4 linked regions of the Saccharomyces cerevisiae S288C genome follow. Changing the gene in region 1 together with any one later gene gives a genetic interaction. Each region holds a gene or a part of one and is shown on either strand. Other genes may lie near its edges.

Region 1 (7,061 bases):
TATCGGCACCAGGCCTATGGGAACGTTATAAAAATTGCACAGAAGTTTCTTTATACCACTATTGGTTCACAAAGATTGTTAAAACAGGATGCCTCATTACCTGAATTGAAAAAGTTCCTTCTCTCTTTATTGATTTTACAAAGAGGTATTCAATTAGATCAGGCAATCTCTGATATCATACAACGGTTTCTATTAACACAAAAGACAATGGTGATAGACCTCATTAACTCGATTTTCTCTAGGATGGTTATAATGAATATGCATGAAGAAGCTGTATATAAATGGGTCAAATGGATGAAACTAGTGAATGGACATTGTGAATTTACGAATTATATGGAGAACAAGATAGTTTTGAGAAACTTTTTATCATTCATGAGGCAATCAAATGTTCGCCCCGATTATTTATCTTATTTGAAAGCAATTCAGCTAACGCAAGGGCCCGCAATAGCGTCTCAATTTGCAACTACGTTGTTGTTCTTATTAACTTATATTAGGAAATTTTCTTCTGCAGAAGCAGTTTGGAATTACAAGTGCGAACATAACCTGCCGATAGTGAGTTCTGACCTGACGTGTATTCTAAAGACGTATTGTCACATGCAGAAGTTTAATTTGGTTTCGTCAACATATTGGAAATACCCTGATGCTCAGCACGACCAAAACCAATTTGATTATCTTTTGGTGGCTCATTCTAGGCTGCATAATTGGGACGCCTTACAACAACAGTTCAATGCTCTTTTCGGTATCGGTAAGCTACCTTCCATACAACATTATGGTATTTTGATGTATACTATGGCCAGAATTGGTGAATTGGATAGTGTCAATAAACTATATACACAGTTATTGAGGAGAGGTATGATACCGACATACGCTGTTTTACAATCTTTACTATATGCACATTATAAAGTCGGAGATTTCGCAGCCTGTTTTAGCCACTTCGAACTATTCAAGAAATACGACATAACGCCTTCAACAGCAACGCATACCATAATGCTTAAAGTGTATCGTGGTTTAAATGACCTTGATGGTGCGTTTAGGATATTAAAAAGACTAAGCGAGGATCCTAGCGTGGAAATCACGGAGGGGCACTTTGCTTTATTGATACAAATGTGTTGCAAAACTACGAACCATTTAATCGCTCAAGAATTATTCAACCTTATGACTGAACATTATAATATCCAACACACTGGAAAAAGTATCTCTGCATTGATGGATGTATATATTGAGAGTAACAGGCCAACAGAGGCAATAGCATTATTTGAAAAACATTCAAAGAATTTATCTTGGAGAGATGGTCTAATTTCAGTGTATAACAAAGCCATCAAAGCTTATATTGGTTTACGAAATGCCAACAAGTGTGAAGAACTTTTCGACAAGATCACAACCTCAAAACTGGCTGTAAACAGTGAATTTTACAAGATGATGATAAAATTTTTAGTTACACTGAACGAAGATTGCGAAACGGCATTGAGCATCATAGATCAACTAATAAAACATTCTGTAATCAAGGTGGACGCTACACATTTTGAAATAATAATGGAGGCATATGACAAAGAGGGTTATCGTGACGGTATAATTAACTTGTACAAGACAATGTCACAGAATAAGGTACCAGCGAATTCCAAAATTTTATATTATATATTGAAGGCCGTTGCCAAAAAAAGCCTACAAAATAATGAGGAAATCAAGGAAACGATTAATATGGTAGAAGACATCATGGAAAATGCTGCCAATGGAACTCTCGACGTTACGTATAACAAACTGCATCCCTCGGTCATGGCATGGCCAATGAGAATGATTGTGAAACATGATAGCCCACAGCGGGCTTTAGAGTTATACAACCGGTACAATGAGCTTTTCTTCAAAAAGCATGATTGGATATCAAATAATAATAAATTTGTGATGATGAGATCATTGTTGGTATTACTAGCTCAAATTGAACAATGGAAAGATTTCGAAACACTTTTCGCTAAATACATGGATCGTATTGAAAACATTGAAAACTTGCCATCATCTACAACGCCAAATATTAAACTAAGAAGCATATTCAGCGGATTGTTCCCTTATAAAGTAAGTCAGTTGATTGCAATGAATAAAATCGATGAGCTGCCATTACTGTGGAAGAAATTGCGAGAAAAAGGTTTTATTTTAGATAATATATCGTGGAACAGCGCTGTAGAAGCGTTATTTAAGGATCCAAGAACCCTTTCGTATGGTATGAAAATCGTTGATGACACACTAATTCATGGGTATAATTTGATCCATAAATTTAGACTATTAACGAAACTATCCGAGGATAAGACGCAGTCCAGTGATAAATCTTGGCCAACATTAAAAATGAAGGAAAAAGAGCCCAATAAATTTCAGCCCAGACTATACTTAAAAAGCGATACATATAACAGTATAATGAGGCAGTTAGACACATATTTGGACGGTATTGATGATTTAAAAACTTTAGAAGATCAGGTACGTGACTTCATATCAAATTACAAGTATTTTATGAAAGATTACTTATTAATGCCAAGAAGCAAGATCAATAAATGGGAACAGATTGAAATGAGACATCTTTCATATTTTAAAGAACTGAGGAAATCTAAGAGAGTATTACCTGTGAGTAAATTCTAGAAATGCATATATCATATTGTATAATCAACTGCATATATATCAAAAAATCATGTAAATAATTAACAAAAATTGAGAGAGCAAAGACTAGTCTAAACTTTGTTTTTATTTTCCACGGTCAGTGTATAGTTGCCTACAGTTTCACCGTAAGTTAGCAAACCTACCCATGGTTGAACATTCCAGTGTAACTTGAAAACCAAATCCTTGCCTTCGAATTTTCCATCTTCAATATCCCAGATAGAATACTTGGATCTTAGATCGTTCACATCAATCACAGCATCATCCTTGCTTTTTATGATCTTATCCCAAAATGTTACCTCACTTGTTATTTTTTCAGTACTGTTATACTCAGCAGTTAGATAGACAAAAACTTGCTTTGTATTCCAATTGAATAGGGGAGTGAGATCTGTATTTAGATCAAATTTAATTTTCATATTTTCCTTTGCCTTGCCTCTCTGTGAGCCAAAATATCTACTTGTTCTAACATTTATTAAAGTTTTGACGTTATCGATATTACTAGGTACTGAGAACGCGTTATTATTGATTAATTGATAGTATGAGGATGCCATGATGAATACAACCATTACAATTCCCATTGAAAAGGCCTGGTTCGATACATTCTGGAATCTTTGGACAAAGGAGAACATTGTTCTGGAGAAGTGCGGCAATGCTAGCTAGCTTTGTGGGTCTTTGTCTCAGTGGAACTTAATAGGCTTAACAATCAACTTTTTTCTCCACGTCTACCGACTGTCATGAAATTAGTCGACCTTCGTTCTGCGCCTTTGAAATGAAAAATTTCAACGTAATTAAAAAAAGATAATAGATGAAAAAAAGGTAGTATTCACGTGTGGCTTCAAGAAGACACCAAAGGCAGTGGTCTAAGTTTGTGTTGGTAGAATGGCTGGCAAAGCAGGGAGGAAACAGGCTAGTTCAAATGCAAAAATAATTCAGGGCTTATACAAGCAAGTCTCTTTGTTTTTAGGAATGGCTATCGTACGTCTATTCATTTCACGTAAGGTTACAATTGGCCAATGGATTAAGCTGGTGGCTTTGAACGTTCCTATGTTCGTTGCTCTGTATATCATTGTGCTATCCGGTAAGCCCAAATATGATGGCAATCGCGTAGTAAAACAAGGTATAGACTTGAACGACAATACAAATTTGATATCATATTTTTTTGATTTGATATATCTATCACTTTTTGGTAACATTGGTATTATAGCTTTCAGGACATTCAAATTTTGGTGGTGTCTACTATTGTGCCCCATCTATGCTGGTTACAAGTTATATGGCCTCAAAAACATGTTCATGCCTGGCGCTCAACAAACTCAGGCAGATAATCGCTCAAAAAATGCTAATGAGGGACAATCCAAATCCAAAAGGCAGATGAAAAGGGAGAGGAGGGGTGAAACTGACTCTAAAATTAAGTACAAGTATCGTTAAACAAAGCTTTTCAAACGTTTTTGAAATTTTTTGCTTTCTATAGAGGAGTGTGAGTATATACAAAATAATATTTAGATATACTTAAAATGAGCATGCTACACAGGTATCTTCCAAAACACTGTCATAACGAAATTCTTATAGCCGTTCCATAAACGGGAACAATATGGGGGCAAAGTACGGCTGACATATGCATCCAACCTAAGGACATATTGTTTAAATATCTGCCTCATAGATTCACTTTGTAGGTACCTTAATTTGAAAAACCATACATAGGTTAGTCCTGCCAACATTGTACCCACTACCTCAAACGACACGTTTGCTCTTCTTACCAACAACAAGAAAAAATTGAAGGGCACTAAGAAGAGGCCCACACGTAGGCCGCAGATAATCTCAAATACTTGCGCCATCTGTAAGAAAAATCCATTGTAGTTTTGGATGAATACCGTTATTTTGGAGTTCAACAAATTTTTCAAATTAAGTGGTATCAAAGGCAAAAATGGCAAAAGGTTTTCCTTAAAATAGTTCAGGAAGTGAAAGATTGAAAAGATAACGGGACTGTATAACGAGCCGCTGATTATGATGTTAAACTGTGATAAGAGAAAAAGTATGAATAGCATGGCAAAATACTGCAAATTATCCAATTTCTTCATCTCTTGGCGCAAAAGCGTAAAATTGAACTTTAACTGGTCACTTTTGAAAAACTGGTAAAGAACGATGGCATATGTAACGGATATGTAAAATAATGATCTTCTATAGCATGACAATTGGTTTTGTTTGGACGTGATTGAAAGATGAAATTGTATAAAGTTAAAGATGGTTAAAAAATGGCCTATAAACCAATAAAACTGGGGTTGTTTTATTCTTGATTTGATAATGGTGCCAAATGGTGCCATGGGACGATTCCTGGGAACGGTCATATTGTTTTGTGCTAATTTTTTTTTACAATTATTCGAAATGAGTCTTGTTTGATCGTGGCCCCTTCTTTATTTCTGATTCCAAATCGAATTTTCAACTCTCTTATTAATATTTTTTCGGTGTGGATGAGAAGAAAAAAAATTTTTCTAAACTCTTCGAGAAAAGAACAATGAAAAGAGAACAGTAAAACGTCATAAAGCCTGTTAGTTCTTGACATAAAGACGGTAAAAGAATCGCATGTTTTCCAATGGAATCGAGTAGTCGAGTTTTGGGTCCATTCTATACCAAATACTGTCGTTCTCGGATACTAGTGACCATGGACCTGTCGTTCCCTTGTCCTTTCTATTGCCTACTAAGATAGTATCGATAAGAAATTGGATTGGGAACTTCTTGTTGTTGATGGTAATGTGAGAATAGCTTCCTGCACTCTCTAGTATGAGAAGATGGCAGCCTGGGGCACAGTTCTCGTTTAACCGTTGCAGAAATTTTATACTCTCCACTTTTTTCTGTGTAAATAGTTCATTTGTAGTAAAAAGTAGAGTTATTAGGTCGAGGCCTTGATATATCTTGATATCTTGTGGCTCTGTCATTTGTAGGCAGTCCTTGTGGGTAAAGTTGACGTTAAATGACTCTGCTTCTGAATCACCATATAGCCATTTCGACTTTATTGTAGCTGTTAGCTTTTCAACAACTGTGGACCAGTCGGCGATATCTACTAGTTGTATGTTTAAATTTCTAGGCTTTTTGTTTACTTCGTTGTCTATTTTCAAAGCAGAGGCAAATTTAGACGAAAAATCTCTCGATAAAGTGAATATGCTCGCTAATGCAACCAGCTCACCACCAGCGCCGCCACCTATGCAGAGCACATTTGAGTCCTTGTCATCAATTTCGCATCTGATAATCTTTAGAAGCTCAGGGAAATGTGCAAATACTGATGCGTAACTTGTTGCTCTGGACGGTGACCAACGACAACAATATGCTATTCTTTTCGAGTCGTTATTGAAAGCAGCATTGTAATCTCTGTTATAAAGGTCAGATTTTACCGCCTGTATTTGTTCAGTTAACGGTGACTTTTCATTGTCTTGATCTTTTGGATATAGCTCTTCTAAGAATGTTATTTTAAAAAGATCGATTATTTCCTGTGGTGGAAGCGTTGATTTATTGTGAACGGGCAATTGGGCCACTTTTTTAGGATTCATGTTAATTGGAAACTGAGAAGAGTAATGATATTGTGAATAAATTGGTATATATTTAAAATATACTGAAGAAGTTAAAAAGGCAAAGCGTCTCATAAGCAACATCAAAAACGTGCAAAAAGAGACCCTGCGATGAGATGTACTCTAATTCAGAAAGAGAAAAAAAAAAAAAAAAAAAAAAAAAATAAAAATGCACTAAGGGCCCAATGGATTTCTTTTTTTGATATTGAATCATTCATTAAACATATTTATTAGGTTTAGAAGATTTTAATTATACAAAACTTATGCTCTATTTAAAATAATATTAATGAATTTATTCTTCGTCTTCTTCTTCGTCTTCTTCTGGAGTGACTTGGTAGAAGGCCAATCTGTATTCGTTGGTCTTGGTAGAGACAAATCTGATCCAGTCTCTCAATTGGTTCTTCTTCAAGTACTTCTTTGTCAAGTACTTCAAGTACTTACCAGAGAACTTGGCAGTGGAAACAACAGTAACAACGGTACCATCTTCAGTGACAGTGACAGCGTTACCCAAGTTACCGACAGCACCTTCGACCTTGATGTGGTCGATCAAGTACTTAGCGTAGGAAGCTGGGTCGAAGACACCGTTTTCAGTTGGAGAAGAGACATCGACGGTAAAGGTCTTGGCAATCTTTTGCTTTCTGGAAGTCTATATCAAAAAAATTAAAGATTGAAAATTAGTAAAAATTTTCAGAACAGTAATGTTAGTAAAAAACGAATATTTCACGATTTTCTTTCAATCCCGAAACCACAAAGTTGCCTACTGCTATTAACAATCACATATGACAATCTCAAACAAAAAAACATTCAGAAACGGATAAAAAGAAGGGAGTCGATATAGAGTTCAATGTTCAAGTAGTGAATTTTTAA
Region 2 (5,146 bases), on another chromosome or scaffold:
ACATAAATGAATCTACGAACTTTACCCAAATTTTATCCACCGTAGAACCCAAAGCATTAGGTATGTGAATATTTTATCACTAAATTTATTGAAAAGAGAACGTTACTAACAGTGGAATTTTTTTTTCTAGAAATGGTATCGGATTCAACAAGGGAAACCGTTTTAAAGCAAATAAGGGAATTTCTTGAAGAGATTGTAGATACACAATGAAGGATACGAAAATGCACCTTAATTCCCAATATTATTACATATGCTCATCGGGAAAACCTTTTAAGCAATAATAGATTTTAAGTATGTAATGATACAAATAATAATATATTTATATACGCATATATTTACATGTGCATATATGAAAAATAACCTAATTCACGTTACCCACCTTTTTTTTTAGCCTTTTCTTTATTTATATATGTATCCACAACATAATGAATGAATTGTGAGCTACACAACATTTCTCGTTGATTATAAATTAGTAGATTAATTTTTTGAATGCAAACTTTTTAGTCGTCGTAGTTTTCATCTTCTTCCACTTGCCTTACTACATTTTCTCTTGGAAGTGTGTTCTCCTGTGGGGATTTTTCTTGAGATGTTTGCTCTTCCTCACGCATTTTGGCCTCCTCTTTCACTGTTTCCATTGTTTCCAAAGTAGGTTTGATTACAGTTATCGTTGTAGCAGCGGTTTCATCTTGTTGTTTTTCAGCATCTCTGGAAGCTGCTGGCTCCGCCTCTTCAGTAGAAGGTGCAGATGCTTCAGTTGTGCCGTTTTCCTCTTTAGAATGCTGTCTTACTTCGTCTTCTACAGGGCTTGCTTCTGCAGGAACAGTAGCAGTAGAAAGTTCTATGGTCTCAGCAGTGCTTTGGTCATTTGCTTTTGTTGTTGAACTTTCTGATGATACAGTTGGTTGGACACTAGATGACTCTGGTTCCGTATTAAGCGGTTTTGTAGAAGGAGAAACAGAAGCTGCTTTGGTAGCTTCTTCAGCAGGACTAGCTTCCTGTGGAGGTTCCTGTGCGCCAATTACTGAAGGTATTGAGTTTGCTTTTACAGGTTTTTCTTCTTGTGAAGTATTATTGGTATTAGACTCCACTACTGCTGGCGATTGGTTGCTCACCTCAGATTTTGCATTTTCTTCAATGGAAGTAGCAGTATTTACTAATTTGTTGATGTTTGAATTTGGAGAGTTCAACTTTTGCTTCTTTACCTGTGGTTCAGCGTTCGTTATTCCTGTTGCGGGAGCTTGCGTTGGAATGGCATGGGTTGGTTGACGAGGAGACTTTGTGTTATTCTCTGTGTGGGTGCTACTGGATACGGCGGCATCTACTAAAGTGTGGATTGCACCTTCCATGTATCTCTTTTGAGGTAAAACGTTCTGTTCCACGTTATGCTGGATTAAAGGTTGGGGAGCTTGGGCTTGAGGCTGGCCTTGAAGTTGTTGTGGATGTTGAACAGATTGTAGTTGTTGCTGTTGAGGTGGCAGTTGAGAGCTTTGCGGATGTTCCATAGCTTGTGTAGAAAATGGTTGCAGTTGGTGAGCTTGTATGACTGTTGGCTGTGTGATATATGGTTGCCCTTGTTGAGGATTTAACATTTGCACAGAAACTCCCTTTTGCTGCAGCTGTTGTCTTGGTAGGGGCTGTAATTGCTGCTGCTGTTGTTGTTGTTGTTGTTGTTGTTGTTGTTGTTGTTGTTGTTGTTGTTGTTGTTGTTGTTGCTGTTGTTGTTGTTGTTGTTGTGCCTGCGCCTGTGCTTGTGCTTGTGCCTGTGCTTGTGCTTGTGCTTGCGCTTGTGCATGTGCTTGTGCTTGTGCTTGTGCCTGTGCTTGCGCCTGTGCTTGTGCTTGTGCTTGCGCTTGTGCTTGTGCTTGTGCTTGAGCTTGTGCTTGTGCTTGAGCTTGTGCTTGAGCTTGAGCTTGAGCTTGAGCTTGTAATTGAGGGGAAGCTCCATTACTGTACATTGTTGCAGAAGAGTTAATAGGCGTTTGTTGAGCAGGATGCTGTTGTTGTACCATTGAAGCAGTAGCATTGGCAGATTGGGCTGAAATTCTAGTGTTCAAAGGATTTCCTTGATCATTAGGTTGTAAGGTAGGTTGTAAAATCACAGGAGGTGGGGCAGGAGAGGCATTCGTTGGCGCACCGTTCGATTTGTTTATATTGCCTGGGTTTTCTAACTGCTTTGTTAAAGCTTCTAATCTTTCTCTTATGTGAACATTATTTACGTCCAGTCTTGCAGCTTGCTTATACGCATCAAGGGCGTCAGATAATTGGTTGTTACAAGTTTCGTAAAGAGTACCTAGATCGTACCAAACTTCACTAATATAAGGATTTAATCTTATGGCTCTTGTGTACGCGTCTAAGGCGTCTCTGTATTGAGAAATTTGGTAATATAAAACACCGATTGAGCACCAAAAGATAGGGTTTCTTGAATCTCTATTAACAGCTTGTTGGAAAGCATCATATGCGGCAGTATAATCTGTTCTAATCATATGCACTCTACCGAGATGGTACCATGTAGTGGCATCGGAGGGATCTGCTTCTAACGACTTTAGAAGATAATCCAATGCCTTTTGAGGGTCATAAAATTGTACGTTACTCATACCGTAAAGACAACCTAATTGTTGTAATACTTTGGCATGATGTTGATTTTGAGCCAAGACATGCTCGTAGGCTTCCTTCGCACCTTGCCACTCTCCCATACTCTCCAAAACACTACCCAACTGAAACCATATGTCCCACTCCTGCAAGGGAGCAGGAGGTTGAGGGAGAATGTATCTGAAGCATTCCAAAGCTTGAGACCATTTACCCTGATGTTTATAAATAATACCTAGTCTGAAGTAAATTTCGTTTGCCTTTTCAAAATGAGGGTCCAATTCCAAAACTTTGGCAAAAGCTTCTTCGGCATAGTCGAGCGAACCATATCTGTCATAAAGAATGCCGATTCCATGCCATAATTTCGGTACGTTGGGATTACTGAGGTGGTAGAGAGCCTGTTGATAGGCATTGTAAGCTCTTTGCAGATCATCCAGCATCAGATAACAATGACCTAAAGTAGCCCACACATCTGATAGTTCGGGATTTACCAAAAGTGCTCTTTCATATAATTCTGCAGCTCTTTGGAACATGTCTCTGGAACGGTACAAGTGAGCCAAAGATGTTAAAGCCTTTGCAGATGAGGGATTGAACTGTAAAGTGGCGTCATATGCCATTGCGGCCCTGTCGCCATCACCAAGGGTTTCTGCCAAAGAAGCAATGGAGAGCCAAGTTTCCGCAGTTGATTGTGTTAATGGGTCGAGTGGCTGCTGAGGAACTGCTGCCTGCTGTTGCTGTTGCTGCTGTTGTTGTTGCTGTTGTTGTTGCTGTTGAGCGGGTTGTTCCATTATTGTTTGTTCACCGCCCGGATTCATTTTTCCTAATTTTTTTTTTCCAGTCGTGTTTTGTTTGTTGTTGTTGCTGTTGTAGTTGTAGTACTAGTCTAAAGGCTTATAGCAGTGAAAAAGAAAAACAGAAATATGGGAAAAGAGGTAACGGGAATACGCCTCTGGTTCAAAGACTAGTGACGTTGTCGTATTTGGCTTTGTTGATTCTAGTTCTCTCAATTGAACTCCTGACGTGGTTTGTAAAAAAACAGAGAACAGGAAACAAAAAACAAAAAGACAAAGAAAAAAATGCGCTTTTGCTTTGATAATCGGAAGGGAAAAGAACGACCGACCGAAGAAAAGAAAAATAAAATAAATTTAAACAAACCTTGTTCGAGTTGGATAGGGGAAAAACGCCAAAAAAAGATGGAGTACAGTACGCGGGAGACCAGTGGCTAGCGACGGGAGTAGCAACGATCGAGAAAGGAGTAGCGCAGAGAAAAGAAAGAAAATAGAGAGATAAAATAATTAGAGCCGATACGGCACCCGTGCGATACGAGACAGGACGGAACAGTCCGGTACGTGTGGTAAGTTTTACGAAACGAGAGGACACGGCATGACATGGCCCACGTTATAAGGCAATTTCCATTTTAGCATTGGCAAACGCACAAGCACAAAAAAGATGTGGAACAACCACTAAGAACGGAGTGTGCACGAAAAAAATAAGCTTTTCTCGTGCCCTGAGTGGTGCACAAAAGAAGAAAAGGGAAAAAAAAAGCGAACGAGGAGTGACGTGGACGCGATGAAGGTGACTCAGCCAATCCGGGTGAGCCGCACCCTTCGTCCTCAGTGACCTCTCACGTGCCCTGTATCAGCCAGCCACTGACAGTTTTGTTTTTGCCGCCCAGCTCAAAACTCAGATCGGATGTGCTTTAGTTTTTATCTTCGTTATGTGGATGTTTCATTAGCTTAAAGCATAGGATACCGAGAAACCGTAACGGTTTCATGTTGACCGGTTTTTGAGTTTATGGTTTTAAAGTTCGTCAGTTGTTCCGACGCTTAGATTTTAAGGAGCTTGTCAAAATGCCTAAACCACAATCCTTACAGCACTCAAAATCAACAAAAAGTGAGAAGGTTTGAAAGTAGTACATCCCCTCTTCCCTTTGATTTTTAGCCGCCAAAACTACCAACCCACACAGCACAAAATGTGTTACTCCTCGAAAAAATCTGTTACCCTTTTCCCGCCATGGTTGCCAGGGAAACAGTGGGGACTTCTGCGTTGCTTCTATTTTTCCCCCCTCCTTCCTCCTGCGCCTCCGTTTCTTTTTCTTCCCTTTTCATTTCCCTTTTCTTTTTTTTTTCAAGTTTCGGATTAACGCTATAAAAAAAATGCACAGATAGGACCTTAAGGACTAATAAAACCGACAGTATAACGACGTAATGCTGCGTGGTGTTTTCAAACCTTAGTAGTTTTGGTAATTTTAGATACTCTTGGCCGTATAACTGGTGTACCAACTGAAAAATCATGCAAGAAGGGGGCTTTATCCGTAGAAGGCGTACGAGAAGTACGAAAAAAAGTGTTAATTATAATGAACTAAGCGATGACGATACAGCTGTGAAAAACTCAAAAACTCTGCAGCTGAAAGGGAACAGCGAAAACGTAAATGACAGCCAAGATGAAGAATACCGTGATGATGCTACGCTCGTGAAATCACCCGACGACGATGACAAAGATTTTATCATAGACCTAACAGGTTCAGATAAAGAGCGGACCGCCACCGATGAGAATACTC
Region 3 (8,092 bases), on another chromosome or scaffold:
AACTTCTACTAGCGGTAAGAAGAGAAACAAGCTTATAAAATCTTGTGGCTTTTGCAGAAGGAGAAAACTTCGTTGTGATCAGCAAAAACCTATGTGTTCTACATGCATTTCTAGAAACTTAACAACCTGTCAATATGCTGAAGAATTCAACAAAAACATCGAAAAGAAAGCTACCTATGGTCCCTATCCTAACGCCGATTTACTTAAGAAAGTTGAAGAACTAGAAAACAAAATACGTATTCTAGAAGCTGAAAAAAACACTAATTCGTCTGCGAGCTCCATGTACACTTCGCCAAATTTCCCTCCTTTAGGCACTAGTGTAGGTAGAGGTTCTACTGAAACTTCATCTCCATTACCCGATGGTGTAATAAATCCATATGCCGACCGGTACTACCTACAAAGTAAACATTCCGGAAGATCAACACTATACGGCCCCACTTCTATGAGAACCCAAATTGCAAATAGTAATTGGGGGTTCATTGAAAAATATAAACAATTATGGGCGAAGGTTAAAGTAGAAAGAAATAAATGGAAGCAAAACAACCAAAAAACGATGTGCAGGGAACTAGGCCTTTTGGATGAGTCGGATTGGCAGCCAGATCCATTAATCAAACAGATATGTCGTTTCCTACCATCATATAACAAAGCTTTGTCTATTTTAGATGATTTCTTTAATGATGGAGCATGCAATGAGATCAACGTGATTCTTGATAAGGCAAAAGTTAGAAGAGACTTTTTAGATTATTTCATGCCCGAAAAAGAGGTAAAGGCGGAAGGTGACAGATCCATAGTTTATATTTTATCCAATCCAAAGAAAAATTATTACAAAGCTGCTGTGATACTATTAATCCTATGTCTGAAATACTTCCATACAGATGTCCCAACCCCAATTGAGAAGTTCTTTACTTTACTAAAGGGGGCCTCCACCGCTAAGGTGTTCTACATTGAGCGTGCACAAATGTTAATACTTTTCTACTACCATCGTGAAACATATTCATTCGGTGGAGATGGCTCCGATTTGGTTAATATAAATGAATGTTTAGTTACTACGGTTACTACAATAGGGTTGCATTTAAACATTAGAGAAACTTTCAAGGAACATGAGGTTTTTATGGGTAGCATCGAAAGTTTAGAAAATGTCTGGTTAATGGCAATATTTATCGATTATAACATATCTTGTAACGTTGGTAGACCCTTATTGATTAACAAATTTTATCTAGACGAAAACCAAGATCATTGCATATTGAATAGTAAAAGTAAAACATATGAGGGGAAGCTGAAAAGATATTTAAAACTTACAAGGCCAATGTTGTTAACTCTTTATGATAGAGATAAATTCCCGGATTTGAAAGCTTATTCCAAGCGAATTATCAATTTTGTAGAAGAAGAACTTGGTCCACTTGGACATTACACAGGTGAAAATATATCGGAAGAAGTTCCATTAAGGGAAAGTAGAATTTTAAGTATGGCAGTCGGACTATTATTGTCGTTTTATGCACTAATACATTCTGTGCTGAAAGTCAGAAACATAGAATCCAAAAATAATACGTTTCAATTGGTTTTGATCAATTTTTCCATCATTGTGAATACCACAATTCGATGCTATCGTATCGACAAAGCACTTTACCCAGAGAAATTCGAAGCCTCCAACCCGCACTTACCGCCACATATGGCGTTATCAATGAGCCTCACGGCAGGGCTTTTTTCCAAAACATTGGTGTTTTTTTGTTCTCTGATCTACTTTAAGTTGACGCTTTTCGAAAATGGACTATGTCTATCCAACGATATGGAAGTTGGATGGTCGGATTTGACGAAATTGACTGTTCCTTTAGACAAGGATCTATCTTTAGGTACAGCAATGAGCTTGTACTCGTCAATCTTCGATCGCTTGTTCACGGTCGGAAATAAAGAATTAATACGCACAATGCATAGATCATCACAATTTGTGATAGAGCTAGCTATTGAAAGGACCTATAGGACTATTCTTGGCAACGTTATTGAATTCAGAAAGTTGACCGAGGAAACATGGCTAGCACAAATCAAACAAGAACTAGATCCGCAGAGCGATAATCCATCATCAGAAGCTAAAATTGTGAGTGATAGGCAGCGGGATCTCAGCCTTGCAGTTCCAACGCCCACGCCCTCAATAATTCCAATGTTACCCTCGCCTGGTGAAACTAAGAACCATGCAAAGAGTCAATCAGAGATCATTCAGATGCTGACAGATGAATTTTGGGCAAATTATAACTCAGGCTGGGAAGAGTTGATTAATCAATCTGAATTTTCCACTCTTTTCGATGATTACAAAGACAATTAATGCTAAGTCGAGGCAATCTCGCGGCGCGACTACTTTGAAGCCTTTTTTTAGTTCTTTTTTATGATCAAAATGTTTATATAATTACCCAGATTATCAACCCACTTCGATGATGGGCCGCACCTGACAGAAAAAAATGAATCAACTGGCTACTAAAGATGGTACAAAAGTTCACTTTATTCAGATATAGAATTGCTGAATCGCTGCTTACCGCCATACGCTTGACTACTTTTACACCCGTACACCACACATACAACCGTACGACTACTTTTCATGCAACAGCGTGCGTTTCGACATGTCTTACACACGAGTAGATCATCCCACTGGAAAAATGGCTTGTCACCTGAGGCAGATTTTGGCAAGCCCACTGTTTTTCGCAAATTATGTACTACATGCAGCCATTCACTACCCTTCGAGCGACATACGCGGCGACATCCTGTAGAGCAATGTTGTCCTTACCAAGACGTCTTGATGAAGGATAAGCATACGCGAAGAGATTTCCTCTCGGAGAGCCTGCAGGGAGCGGCGCACCTCGCCAGCGGAGTTATCACACGTAATGGTACTGAGTGAGAGACCCCGCCCGACACCGCACGGCCATTTGCAGAAAGAAAAACAAAGTCCACTACGGCTAATTACTGCAGAATGCTTTTTTTTCTTTTTTTTTGTGGTTGGTATGTTCCCTTCTAACAGGATTCTTCCTTCGGTAGATCCTTGAGGGGTTTAAGGGGTTTTCTGTTTGCGTAATGGCGTAATTGCCAGCTATATATAACATTATCATCACATATATATCCTTATACGTAGCTTGCCCTTATATATATATTGATATGCGGATATTCGTTGAATGTAGTTCAGTCGTAATCGCTACTTATTGGTAATCATAGCAATTGAATGCTTCTATATTCCTTTCTTACTTTTTTTAATTGCGCATTATAAAAAACTTGAAGGTGCATATTTCCGATTAGGGCCATCAATAGTGACCATAATTATCGGTACATTAATACGTCATGCCATTGAATGAAAAATACGAGAGGCCTCCGCAACCTCCTCCAGCATATGATCCCAACCATAGGCCGCCCAGTTCTTCCGAGAACTCTGCCGCGGCGAATGTCAACGATGGCCAGACGCCGTACCATTTTAGACAGGATCAATATTACAATCTAAATTCCAAAACGAGTGGGGCTCCTATAGGGAGCTTCGACGAGGCCTTTCCTACTGAAAATGACAACAAGCCCAGGTGGAACGATTGGCCATTTACCATTTTTTTCCTATGCACGGTAGGCGGATTCATCGCCATTGCTGCCATAACCTTAAGAGCGTGGTCCCAAACCTATAGCAGTACGGGTTCCGGAATATACGATGGTGTGAATACTGGTACGCTGAACACCAATGCTGCCATCCTGCTAGTTTTCGTGTGCATTATTGCCCTAGTATTCTCCGTTTTGGGCCTCACACTTTGTCGAATTTTTCCGAAGCAGTTTATATATTGCGGTATGGTCATCAACCTAGTGGCTTCTCTTGGGACTGCCATCATGTACATGTCTTTGAGGTACTGGTCTGCAGGTATTGTGTTTTTAGTCTTCACGTTCATGACCGCGTGGTGCTACTGGGGTATGAGGTCTAGAATTCCCCTTTCTGTGGCGGTATTGAAAGTCGTCGTCGATGCCATGAAGAAATGCCCACAGATCTTCTTTGTTTCATTTGTTGGAGCGCTAGTTGCTAGTGCGTTTGGGTTTCTCTTCTCAGCAGTCATTGTGGCTACGTACATAAAGTACGATCCTAATAGCTCGAATGGCGGCTGTGACGTTTCTGGTGGCAGCTGTTCGCATTCCAAATTGATTGGTGTTTTGGTTGTGGTTTTTTTCTGCGGCTATTATATCTCTGAAGTAATAAGAAACGTCATACATTGTGTTATTTCTGGCGTCTTTGGCAGCTGGTATTATATGTCAAAGTCTGACCAAGGAATGCCAAGGTGGCCCGCATTTGGAGCATTGAAGAGAGCCATGACTTACTCGTTCGGTTCCATTTGCTTTGGGTCCTTGCTAGTCGCTTTGATCGACCTGTTGAGACAAATATTGCAAATGATCAGACACGATGTTACCTCCAGCGGTGGCGGTCAAATTGCCATCCAGATTTTGTTTATGGTGTTTGACTGGATTATCGGCTTTCTGAAGTGGCTCGCCGAGTATTTCAATCATTATGCATACTCGTTCATCGCTCTTTATGGTAAACCGTATTTAAGAGCGGCCAAAGAAACCTGGTATATGTTAAGAGAAAAGGGAATGGACGCCCTAATCAATGATAATTTAATTAACATTGCACTGGGTCTATTTTCAATGTTTGCTAGTTATATGACCGCTTTGTTCACGTTCTTGTATCTAAGGTTTACCTCGCCTCAATACAATTCGAACGGCGCTTACAACGGCGCCCTAATGGCATTCTCATTTGTTATTGCTTTACAGATTTGCAACATTGCAACAGAAGCCATTAGATCCGGTACTGCAACTTTCTTTGTTGCTCTTGGTAATGACCCGGAGGTCTTCCATCATTCTTACCCTCATAGGTTTGATGAGATTTTTAGGGCATATCCTGATGTACTCAGAAAATTGAGTCACCAGAATGTGTGAAGAGATGTTTATCATATGTCACTATTTCTCCTTGTTCTTCTTAACAATTCTATATTTAATTACAATATTTTAATACTTAATTTTTTCTACTTCAATTACCTTTAAGTTCTATCTTTATTAAATTGTTTATTTTGTTTTTATACATTCTGTGCAGATTAACAATATGCTATTTATTAAATGACTATTCAAACCTCGAATTGATATTCTTTCTTGAATACCATCCAACAAACGCCCTAATTCCTTCCCTCACCTTTCTGTAATCCTTTGAATTCAACCCCTCAACCACGGCCTTCGCCAAATTATCTCTTTCATTAAGGGTTACTTGGCCAAGTTGTTCCACCACTTTGTAAATCCAATCGATGCAAATAGTGGCATCGTTGTTGTTTGCCTCTGTCAATATCCTTAAACATTTTACAATACAACTGATGGCATCTGAATGAGCGGTGTTTTCAAAAGTAGTAACCAGCCCGATGAATAACACTAATATCAATTGGTTACCGTGGGCTATCACGACTTCGTTAATAACTTGCTTCCTCCATTCATCTGGAACAATCTCGATGGACACTGTTGAGATCGGTGGAGTCTTGAACCCCCAGGATATGATATCATCTAAGCAACGCAAGATACATATGTAAGCATCGTAGTTATCAAGCTTATTAACACACTCGAGGGCAACATTCAGTACGGGGCCTAGAAGCTCTGTTGAATTCAAAAATGCGCCAGGATAAAACATTATCAAGTCTGAAATTAATGAGAAAAAATCGATTATTGCCTCATGATAATCGTTTAATTGAAGTTTATCAAACTTGTTGAAATTCAGTATGAACGTCTCGCATTGGGAGAGGGCAAATTTCCAGACAGCATCTTTCAGACTCGGGGATATGGGGAATGATTCATCGTCACCAAATATAACAATAAGGGAACCAGAACACCACAGATAGGAACCGAATCCAGTCGTTAAATAACCTTGGATTAGAAATTCGGCAACAGAAGGTAATATTGGCTCGCAAAATACATGAAATCTCTCAAAAATTCTGCGTAGCAATTTAGCTACTCTTTCTACGATAATACTATCAGTCATTGCACCTGCATCAACTAGCAGAGTTCTTAATGCCTTCCAAATAAATTCTATCCTGGGGAGTAAAGGTTCCGATCCTTGCTGAGGATAATTGTATCTCGGTTTCAATTCTTCAAAAAGCGCATATAGCAAATCAATCTTATCAGCAATCTGTGGAGCCAAGAGCGTTGGATTTGCTTTCCATTGAGGAATCAAAGCCTCGATTTGTCGCAAATTATCATCTACGAGCTTTTGAAATATTACTGAAACTTTGGCCTCTGGCTGATTATTTATTACTGCACTTAATCCTTGACATAGTTCAAATTGTGACTCAATATCAATCGAACTCTGCACGTTGAGGAAGAAATTAATCAACTGATCAATATACCCAACTAATAGTTTAGAGCAGTCCGAACAGAAGAACATTAATGCATGTGATGATGCAGTGATTATACTTTGCATATCCGATGAACCCTCATGCAGTTGAAAACCGTTAAAAATATATTGCAATTGAACTTCTAGTAGTTCTGGATGCTTGGCTGTCCATTCGGTATATCTACCAAGAACTAATGTTGATGCATACCTAATCTTGGCCTGCTCTGGAAGGTTACAAATGATTTTAATGATTTCTGGCAATATAGTGTTTTCAGTCAACGAAATTTCTTTAGCCATAGTCCTCAGGGAAAATAATGGGGCTTCCATTATTTGCCAGCTATTGTTGTTTTCTATTGCGGACTTAATTCTTATTAGTGGTTGCGATAAAGCCTCAGAAGTTCCCACCACTGCAGTACAGTCTTTTAACACATCGCCCATATGATACCTGAAATCTTTAAATTTATCTTCTTCCTCTTTAGATGAAAACTGGCCTGATGGATATTGTAAATGAGTAATTATACCATTTATTAATTTAACAAAAATATCAGAGTAAGCTTTTCTTGATTCTTGATATCTTGGCAAAACTAAACTTTGTTTGAAGTTAAACCAAAAGGGGAAAGTATAGGAAACGACATCTAAGTCTTCATTTTTGCAGGTCAACATCAATAATACCAAAACCATTGGTTTAAAAAAATCGGGGTTTTTAGAAATGACAACTGACCAAGCCTCGCCAGCTTCTACGAATAATCGTGTCATACCTTCTAGGAGATCGTCATCATATTCATCGTTCAAAGGATGGTCTGTGAACAGAGTAGGCAATAGTTTTTCTTGTAAAAGCATTAACTGATGAAATAAAGCAGAAATCAACTGCTCATTAGTAGTATCTCTGCTTTCTCTGAGGATAACGCAGAGACAATCAATAGCGGAATCGAATGCCTCCATGTCACTTTCATTACCATTGGAAATAGTTTCAAACACGAGATTTATTAAGGGTTGTACGGTTAGCAACTGTTCAACAGGGAATTCATACGACCAAGAGTTCAAACACCGTAAAATTTGTTCTAATGAAATAGATGAGCTGGAATTCCCGTCTGTATTTTGTAATAGGTCTATGCATGATACAAGGAATTTCAATACATCTTCTGCTATCGGATCAATTAGTTCATGAATTCTGGAATTGAATTCCACTTCTGTCAAGGAAGTAGATGCAATGTCTAAGGTTTCCTCAGGTAAAATTCTTAAAAAGTTTAATAATATAGATGGTGAAGAATTCAACAATGAAATGATCTCGAAAATTGGATTCTGCCATTCTAAAAATTGGATCGCCAAACGTGCTAACGCGACATTCAGTTGTGTAATAATCAATTTTTGGTTATGCGATAATAAAAGCGTCAACAAAGAATCCTTGAATTGTGGTAGATTATTTTCTAATTGTGATAGATCATATGTGACTTTATTCCTTAAAGTTTGCGCAGCAAAAATATTTAATTCTAGAAGAGCGTTTGTAGGATCTTCTTTAGACAATATTTCATTGCAAATAGACCAGGCAACAGTTGATCTTTGGAATTGTTCTAAAAATTGAAGCGCTTTGTTTTTATCATCTTGAGATGCAGTAGACGATATGCATTGTAAAGCAGTTTCTATATCAGATACCTGTAAGTTGTCCATAACGCAAGTTAATCCTTAGTATATCCTCAATAAATCCTTGATACTGATCTGTCA
Region 4 (8,090 bases), on another chromosome or scaffold:
GAAGAATTCTGGAAAGGATATGCAGTGAGCGCTGGAGCAATACATTTTACAGATTCTCAGCTTACTTCATCAATAGATTCATTTATCGTATACTACAGATCTTTGTCTCCTTCACAACAGCTGGAATTATGCCACGATTTAATCAGAATAATTCCAAGCGCTAAACAAATCGCTGAATCAAGAATACGCGATCGTAACAAGGATCCATTAACAGGAGGTATGAGATTTGACACCATCAAATTCACCATTCATTGTGTAAAATTTTGGACTAGAATCATGGAATCTGGGTTGGTTGTTCTACATCCAAATTTTAATTTTCAGGGTGTTTTCGCCAAGTTCTATAACCTACATTTATTAGATTGTACGACATTGAGAGTAAGCGTGATCAAATTCTTCCCGTTCTTGGCAATATCTTGTTACCACACAATGAGAGAAAATGCTGACCAGAAGAATCTATCCAACATAATACTGAAAAGGTTGTTGGTTCTTGTGAAACGTGAATACGCCGCAACAAAATCAAAATTTATGACTGATCAAAATGTCGCTTTACAAGGTATGTTCCAGATATTTTTGGAATTAGGTGTCACCAGGCAACTCCAAGCTCTACAAGTGGCCTGCCAGAAACATGAATTGGCGAATATATTAGAGTCTGATATCACTTTATAGAATGTAAACGGCAAATTTTACATATAATCATTATTTTTGTTGCATTTGCTTAGATCTTATGTAAGAAAATAGATTTTCTACTCTCTTTGCATAGGATACATCCGCAGCAAAATTATATTCCGCATCATTTGCGGTAAATAAAGCTTCATTCCGCATTTCTTTATCTCTTTTTGCTTTAGATTTTTGGAAAATTTCTGAATCCATATGAAATAGAGTTTTTCGCTCCCCAAAAATTTTGCGCAATTCCATTATGTTTATTGGTTGAATGGTCCCTTTTTCTGACTTAAATGGTTTATTCTCAACATACCATTCGCCGACGTCATCTGTTATCTGCAAAACTCTATCGGTGTTTTCTTGTATATCAATTTCTAAGCTGGATAGCCATTCAGAAATTGCATCTCCGATTTGTATTGGCAACCTCCACGAAAACTTATCACTAAACTTATCGAAAAGAAAAAATTTGTGACTTTGTGTAACCAACAAATTATAGAAAGCAAAATAGAAAAAATCAGAATCAGAGTAGTTTTTGCAGACTTTCAACATCGAGAGAAAATCGTGGGAGGTAAATTGATAGCCGATTTCATTCAACTGGTTATACAATGCCAGTAGAGTAAGTTTGGTAGAAATATCTTGAGAGGCGCCATGAAAGAGGCAATGAAAAGTGGAATTTTCTTTGTTTCCAACTATATTATCTGTGAGTAATAATGGCTGCCATAAATTTTTTTCGTATACTATGTGCTCGACCAATGAAAGCATAAAATCGAAATCCTTGCGCACAGATAAGTGACACAGTAGCATATCAATAAAAAAAGCTCTTAAGGAATGCAGGTTGGACTCAGCCTGCATTTGGTCATCAACCTCCTTAATGTGCTTTTTCCATACTTCTAAGTTCAGAGGCAAATCACTTAATTTAAACGATAGAAATTGAAGAAATGAATCTTGCTTGAGAGGTTCGAAATTATCTTTTGATAAAATATGTATGCTCTGCTTCAAACTCACGTCAGTTGGTAATTTTTCAAGTCCGAATTGCCTAGTGACAGCGGTAGTTGATGATAATCCATTCATGGTTTCAATAACTTTGAGGCAAGAATGGTTCTGGGATAATTGTATCAAGTTGGAGGAATCATGCTGATCAAAATGAAAGTTCCATTCAGACAAGCTCCTTAAAATCTGACAAGCTTCATTCTCCATATTTTGTGCTATCATTACTTTTAGACTTTTGACTAGGCATGGACTAAATAACTCCAACAATTGAATAGCTCTTTCACGCTCCTTCGAACCTCTTAAACCAGAATCCGGTACACATGAGGATAAAATATCCAACATACTTGTCCATTGGGAGGTCTCCACATAAAATGCCAGCTGGGATAAATTGGCTAATAATTGACCCTCCGAATTTTCCGCGAACAACCGCTGTATTGCCCTTAAGTAGTAGTTCGATTGGGATTTAACAATTAAAAGAGTACAATTCCTCAAAAATTTTATGTTTGCCCGAAATTTTCCTTCTATAGTTAAAGATTTGGTTTTAAGAAAATAATAGCGATCCAATAATTGCAATGAAAATTTAGCTAGTGCAATTTTGTCATTTGCGGACCGAAGCGATAGTTTATAGAGCATATTAGATAGCTCATGATAAAATTCCAAAGGCAGCCGATCAGGTGGGAATGCATCAATCTGTCGGCCACTTTTATTTAGCCATTTTATGTGACCTGTGCCAATACGATTCAACAACGCAAAATACAAAGCAGGATTATCGGATGTACGAAGCTTCTGTAGAGTAGTCAGTACCACATTTAATCGTAAATTTACATTTTGGAGCTTATCTTCATTCAGTTTATCTTTTCTTGTTAGCGCATCCTTCAACCATTTATCAGTTATTGAGTTAGTTCTTTTGTTATTTGGTAAACGTTTATGCGATGATGGCTGTCGCCCTAGCTGTGGTAGTATTTCAGGAGTGATTAAAGAGTCCTTAATCAGCTTACCAATATGACTAGACGAATATCTTTTAAAAAGTAACTTCATATTCTTCTTGGCACACTACTATCATTTTTTCTCGCCGTTTCTAGTAGAAAAGGGCAACTTTTACTTAAAAATCATACAATTGACTTACTTTTTTTTTTTTACACAGATACCTTTTTATTTTGAACTACGCGCAGTTTGAAAGAGGAAGAGATAATCCTATGATTACTCCAAAACCTTCTTCTTTTTCGGTATTGCCTGAGAAATGATAACACTTTTGGGTAACTTCCTTTTCCAGTCTGAATTTATACTTTCTAGTTTAGGGCCTTCGTTATTGCACAATATCTTTTTGTAATATAATCTCTCTAATTGACTTAAGTGTTTTGCAATCCAAATATGTTTGAGACCTTGCTTACTATTTAATCGTTTAACTACGTCAGTTTGCAAAAGGTCTTTGACAAAACTCTTGGCATTATCTGAAACAATATCCCACTGCTTCAGTTTGAAATTCAGCTTCCCAATTTTTGCATTTTGAATAATACTCCTCTCAGAACCATCTCCATAAAAAGGCGAGATCCCTGTTAACATAATGTGTGTAATGACACCCAAAGACCAAAGATCACATTTACTGTCATAACCTCGTTGCTCTAACGTAGCTGCTCTTGAGAAGCTTTGATATGCTTTTCTGTTTGCTCTGAATCCAACTTCTGGAGCGCAGTATTCCGGAGTGCCTACGACAGTATGCATTCTTTCTTTGTTGGAATTTAAATCTTTAGCTATACCAAAGTCTGCCAAGACGATTCTAGTGCACGGTTCTGGCGTACATAACAAAATATTGTCTAGTTTCAAATCGCGGTGAACAATGTCTTGATCATGAAGGTAGTTTAAAGCTTGCAAAATTTGAAAGACGATCAATAGCGATTCAGTTTCTGACATGGAAGTTAGACAGTCGCCTTTAGCTAGGTAAGAAAACAAATCACCACCAGGGATAAGATCCTGGAATATGTAAAGGTGATTGTTCCTGTCACAGAAAGTATGGTAGACTTTGATAATATTTGGGTGATCCAGTCTCAAAAGGATTCGAGCCTCTTTATCGAATTTATTTGGTTTTAGTTTAATGATCTTCACAGCATAATTTTCAGGGTGATAACAGACATCTTCATCACGTTCTTTTGAGTTATGCGTGATCAGAACATGACCGAAAGTGCCATTACCCACTATTCTATTTGTTATTTCCCATTGGTCTACTTCCCTCAGAAAACCCATTTGATCTAAAAGTTTTGGGTCCAGAGAAGATTGTAAATCATCATTAATCATAAAAACTAGTCGTGTTTTTTTAATGTCATTTTCTTCACTTCCCTGCGATAATTCAATAACGTCGCAATGTTTTAAAAGATACGTTTTGTCCCTTTTCAAAAGCAAACCGTTCAAATACGTTCCATTAAGAGAACAATCTTTAACGTAGAACATTGGAATACTATCCTCATCAAAAAAGACACACCAAAACACGCAATGAACAGAGGAGATAGAGGGATTCGTTAGAACGAGTTGACATTCCTTATCATTTCTCCCAACTTTCACGAGCTGATGCTTTACTATAGGTATTGTCTGCTCTGTATTATAGCCGCCTACATTAACTTCCAGGTGAGCAGGAGCTACGCCACCTGCCATCTCAATATCATCTTTGGTTGCAAGGTTGCAGCTATACAACGGTCTCATTCCGCTCTTCTTCTTTCTGTTGTATATTTGGTCCTTAATAAAATTTGAAACGTACAAGAGCACTCCAGAAGGAGCTCAAGTAAAAAATTAGTCAAACCTCTCCCTTTTATACTTGAATGAATGAAATAGCCGCCGAAATTTAGCCGCCATCATTCTTCTTTTCCCCGGCTAAATTACCACGGTATGCTTTATGATTGGAAAATACCCATAAAGTAGGAATAAACTACAAATGATTCCACTTAATGAAAGATAAGCAGACAAATATACTGCATATAAGTGAAAAATAGTGAGGAGATCGCTATCAGTCAATATTGTGAAGGACCTACCTACTCTTTTTCTAGATATATATTTTTTATTTGCACAGGACCCCTCTTGCATAATTGTTCCTACTAATACGGTAGGTAGCACACAATTTTACACCACTTGCTTTACAATCATACCTCATAGGGCCTTCTTATTCTGATAATGCCCCTTTTAGAATGGCTAAACTGCTTACGTCCCGCTTTCTTACGCACTGCGCGCAACATGCAGGAAGAACAAACAACCTCGCCCTGTTTCCATAATGAAGGTCCTTGAAATAGAAGCCCCACAAAAGGGTGGAAATGTGGCAGAATAAACAGTAAGCTAACTGTTGTAGAGACTCCAAGCCCTGGTAAGGAAAGAAATATTATAAAAATAAAAGATTTCAACACAGTATTTTGATGTCTGAGCCAAACACACCATTACATGCTCAACCGAATGAGCAACTGGACTTGAACAACTTAAATGATCTAGATGAAAAAGACATTGATGATTTAAACTTGGATCCAAACTCAGATGTAGAAATTAGTGCAGACTCAGGTGATGTCGTAAATTCTAACATAGACAACGTTATATGGCAGCGTAATTGTAATAAGAAAAGAAGATATCATACACCAGAATTCAATGATGTTTACAATGAAACTAACAACACAATCAACGACGTAACTATGCTCGATGATGTTGACGATTTCCAGCCTAGAATAAACGTGTCTTCTCCCTTTTCGTCTGCCACAAAGCTGAGTGAATTATTGCCAAATGATCACAATGGAACGTCACACCCGAGAAGATTGTCAATGTCTCAACAATCCAAATTCATCTCTTACGTTGATGATCAGCTTTTACAAATTCAAAGAAAATTTGTTCAATCCAGGGGCCTGAATATCAAAAACGGCTATGCCAGTCTTACTCCGCTGCTGCAGGATTTAAAAACTTTAGTTGACTTCGTTTGGTATTCTATTGCCCATGTTCCAAACTCAGACTATTTACTTCAATCAGAAGAAAAGAGACATTGCCCAGATTCCCGAAACCCAAAAGATACATGCGGATATTCTAGTTATTTTGGTCAAGGGTCCTATTTAATAAAAATTGCGGACGATCTCATCGATTACGTTGAAAAATTTACATTCAAAAATATGGAAGACTCAGAGATTAATGACACTTTATCCAAATTATTCAAACTCTTCTTCATCCTTGACAGGATATTTGTAATTCTAACTGATGATAATGATAATTGCAAAGAAGTCCCTAAAACGTCTTCAGCCAGCAAGAACATAGCAGGATTGAATGGGACTGATATTGTGAGGTTAAAAGGTATCGCGGAACGAACAAGAGTTCGCCTACCCATATTTTTGGAATCCCAGGGTATCCATGGTTACCATTATGAATTAAGCAAGATTTACGAGGGATTTTTAGACCATGCCAATTCATTTTAACATTTACATTCAACCAGTGGCGTGTATCTTTTATACAATAAATCTGTAACTTTTAAAACTTCTGTTTCCGAACTCCTCATTTTTCATGCATAAATATATAAATATATATATATATATATATAAAGCATACATTTCAGTACCATGGGGTATATGATCCTCCCATTACGTATTCTAAAGTTCGCGTTTTCTCACAATGCAAGTTTTTATATTACTCCGGAGAGTTGGCGCTTACTGATACAGCCTTGTATGAACTCAAGTCCAATATCACAGTGACATCCTTGGTAATCTTCGCCAAGTTGGCTAGGTTAGGTCTCAGCTCATTCAAATTAGGCACGTCGCTCATTACGATTTTAGTATTAGCCAGAATTGATATTATTACTTTTAAGAACGAATTCATTATCTCCCACGTTTTCAGCTTCTCCAAAGATGTCAGATACTTCTCTGAATTTGAATCGTTCGGTATTAATACATTTAACCTTTCATTCAATTGTTTGGATAAATCCATCGCTTGACGACATGTTTCCGTCAAATCACGAATTTTAGGTGCTAGCGAGTCCGTCAAAATTTGCTTTCCCATGGTGCTAGCAATGGCTATCTTGGATATCTCTGAAGTTAACTGGTTATATACAACGCTCACCATTTTAACTACTGTGGACAACGTTTGATACAGTTGAATGTCAATATTTGTCTCCACTACATTAGCACTACTGTTCGCGGCACCACCACCATTCATCGGTGGTGGGGTTATATTAACATTCGAGACGTTATTACTATTTGATGCGTTAATTATTGAAGAAGTCATAACCGGATGCTGTTTAGGTTCATGCGCCTGTGACTCTTTTTTCGAATCGCTGATGGATTTATTGTGCTGAAGCAGCTGTTGCCTTGGAATAGTATCGCTAGTAGTTTTTACTTCATTCATGTTCGTTTGAGAACTTCCATTGCTTATTGCATTTTGGTGTCCCAAAATTGGACCATGGGTGTGTGCACCATTTAGATTTGGTGATAAAAGAGGAACAGCAGTGGTATCACCCGTCAGAATATTACTATTTGAAAGCAATGCAGATGCAGATGGTGTTCTTGTGCTCCTTGTTTTCGGCAGTAATTTTATGTTTCCGCTACAATGTGTACTGGTCGTACTTGCTGCGGGTCCTCCACCGCTTGTGATACTACTGGACGATGTCTCGTGCCTCGAAAAAGAATGTTTCTTGGGTGCCTTACTTGCAGAACCGGACACTTGATCATCTTCTTTGATAAAAGACCATGCATTATACATTTCCATATAAGCACACATTAATGTCATATAAAACATCCTTATGAAGCATAGATCGTCTTCTTTGAAAAAAATCTCAAAATTTTTTCTCAACAATGTTATAATTTGTTTAAAATTTGTGATGATAGTGAGGCACAGCTTGATTAACGCCTGATCATGCGATTCGTCTTCGTTCTCTGTTTGCTGCAAGACCTCCACCAGATTATCAGTATGTGATCTGACAGAGTATAATAATGATACTACATTAACCGCTACGGCCTTCTCTTTACAGAAAGAGGCGATTTTTCTGATAGCTTGTTGGCATTCTGTAAAACTAAATAGGAGCTTCCGACAGGAAACAACCAACTCTGCATGCGATATTTTTTGATGCCCGTTACTCATTGACTCTTCTGGTAAAATCGACAACCTCTTGAAGTAGTCATTATATTTGGTGTGATTGTATAGTTCCGTACCATTCACTGCCCCACTTTGTTCTGATTCTGCATTGACTGTACCACTGAAAGATGTTGCAGAGGTTTGATTAGATGAGACCATTGCAGTAGATGCACTTATAGTTGTATTTGCACTTGGGGCAAGTGAAATTATATTGTTTTCATTCATTGCTCCATTAGACAAGTTCGTATTTATGAATCCCATTCTTTTCGCTGCTCTAGATATTTTAGGTTCTGGAGTAGGTAGGTTAGGATGATCTTTTAGATATCGTGATATCGCAATTGCCCAATATTCTTCTTTGGGGATGC

The links.
Region 2: mutations in SND2 (region 1) and CYC8 together harm fitness more than expected from each alone (negative genetic interaction), as found in Saccharomyces cerevisiae (2 studies listed by BioGRID).
Region 3: mutations in SND2 (region 1) and PNS1 together harm fitness more than expected from each alone (negative genetic interaction), as found in Saccharomyces cerevisiae (2 studies listed by BioGRID).
Region 4: mutations in SND2 (region 1) and MEK1 together harm fitness more than expected from each alone (negative genetic interaction), as found in Saccharomyces cerevisiae (3 studies listed by BioGRID).

The regions. Positions count from the first base shown.
Region 1 is NC_001144.5:263,374-270,434, reverse strand, and holds SND2 (Snd2p), read left to right. Parts: upstream 1-3,516; coding exon 3,517-4,062; downstream 4,063-7,061. Other genes in the region: PET309 (Pet309p), read left to right, coding at 1-2,622; signal peptidase complex subunit SPC3, read right to left, coding at 2,712-3,266; PER33 (Per33p), read right to left, coding at 4,158-4,979; BMT6 (25S rRNA (uracil2843-N3)-methyltransferase), read right to left, coding at 5,181-6,278; 60S ribosomal protein eL22 RPL22A, read right to left, coding at 6,487-6,840. UniProt on the Saccharomyces cerevisiae protein: Functions in the SND pathway, a SRP (signal recognition particle) and GET (guided entry of tail-anchored proteins) independent pathway for targeting a broad range of substrate proteins to the endoplasmic reticulum.
Region 2 is NC_001134.8:462,370-467,515, forward strand, and holds CYC8 (transcription regulator CYC8), read right to left. Parts: upstream 3,402-5,146; coding exon 501-3,401; downstream 1-500. Other genes in the region: SUS1 (Sus1p), read left to right, coding at 1-60, 131-210; DNA repair protein RAD16, read left to right, coding at 4,879-5,146. UniProt on the Saccharomyces cerevisiae protein: Acts as a component of the CYC8-TUP1 corepressor complex which is involved in the repression of many genes in a wide variety of physiological processes including heme-regulated and catabolite repressed genes.
Region 3 is NC_001147.6:633,785-641,876, reverse strand, and holds PNS1 (Pns1p), read left to right. Parts: upstream 1-3,318; coding exon 3,319-4,938; downstream 4,939-8,092. Other genes in the region: YRR1 (Yrr1p), read left to right, coding at 1-2,317; YOR161C-C (uncharacterized protein), read left to right, coding at 2,610-2,756; mRNA transport regulator MTR10, read right to left, coding at 5,120-8,038. UniProt on the Saccharomyces cerevisiae protein: Probably involved in transport through the plasma membrane.
Region 4 is NC_001147.6:992,168-1,000,257, forward strand, and holds MEK1 (serine/threonine protein kinase MEK1), read right to left. Parts: upstream 4,345-8,090; coding exon 2,851-4,344; downstream 1-2,850. Other genes in the region: CIN1 (Cin1p), read left to right, coding at 1-666; MNE1 (Mne1p), read right to left, coding at 697-2,688; TFIIH complex subunit TFB6, read left to right, coding at 5,046-6,077; SOG2 (Sog2p), read right to left, coding at 6,286-8,090. UniProt on the Saccharomyces cerevisiae protein: Probable protein kinase required for meiotic recombination.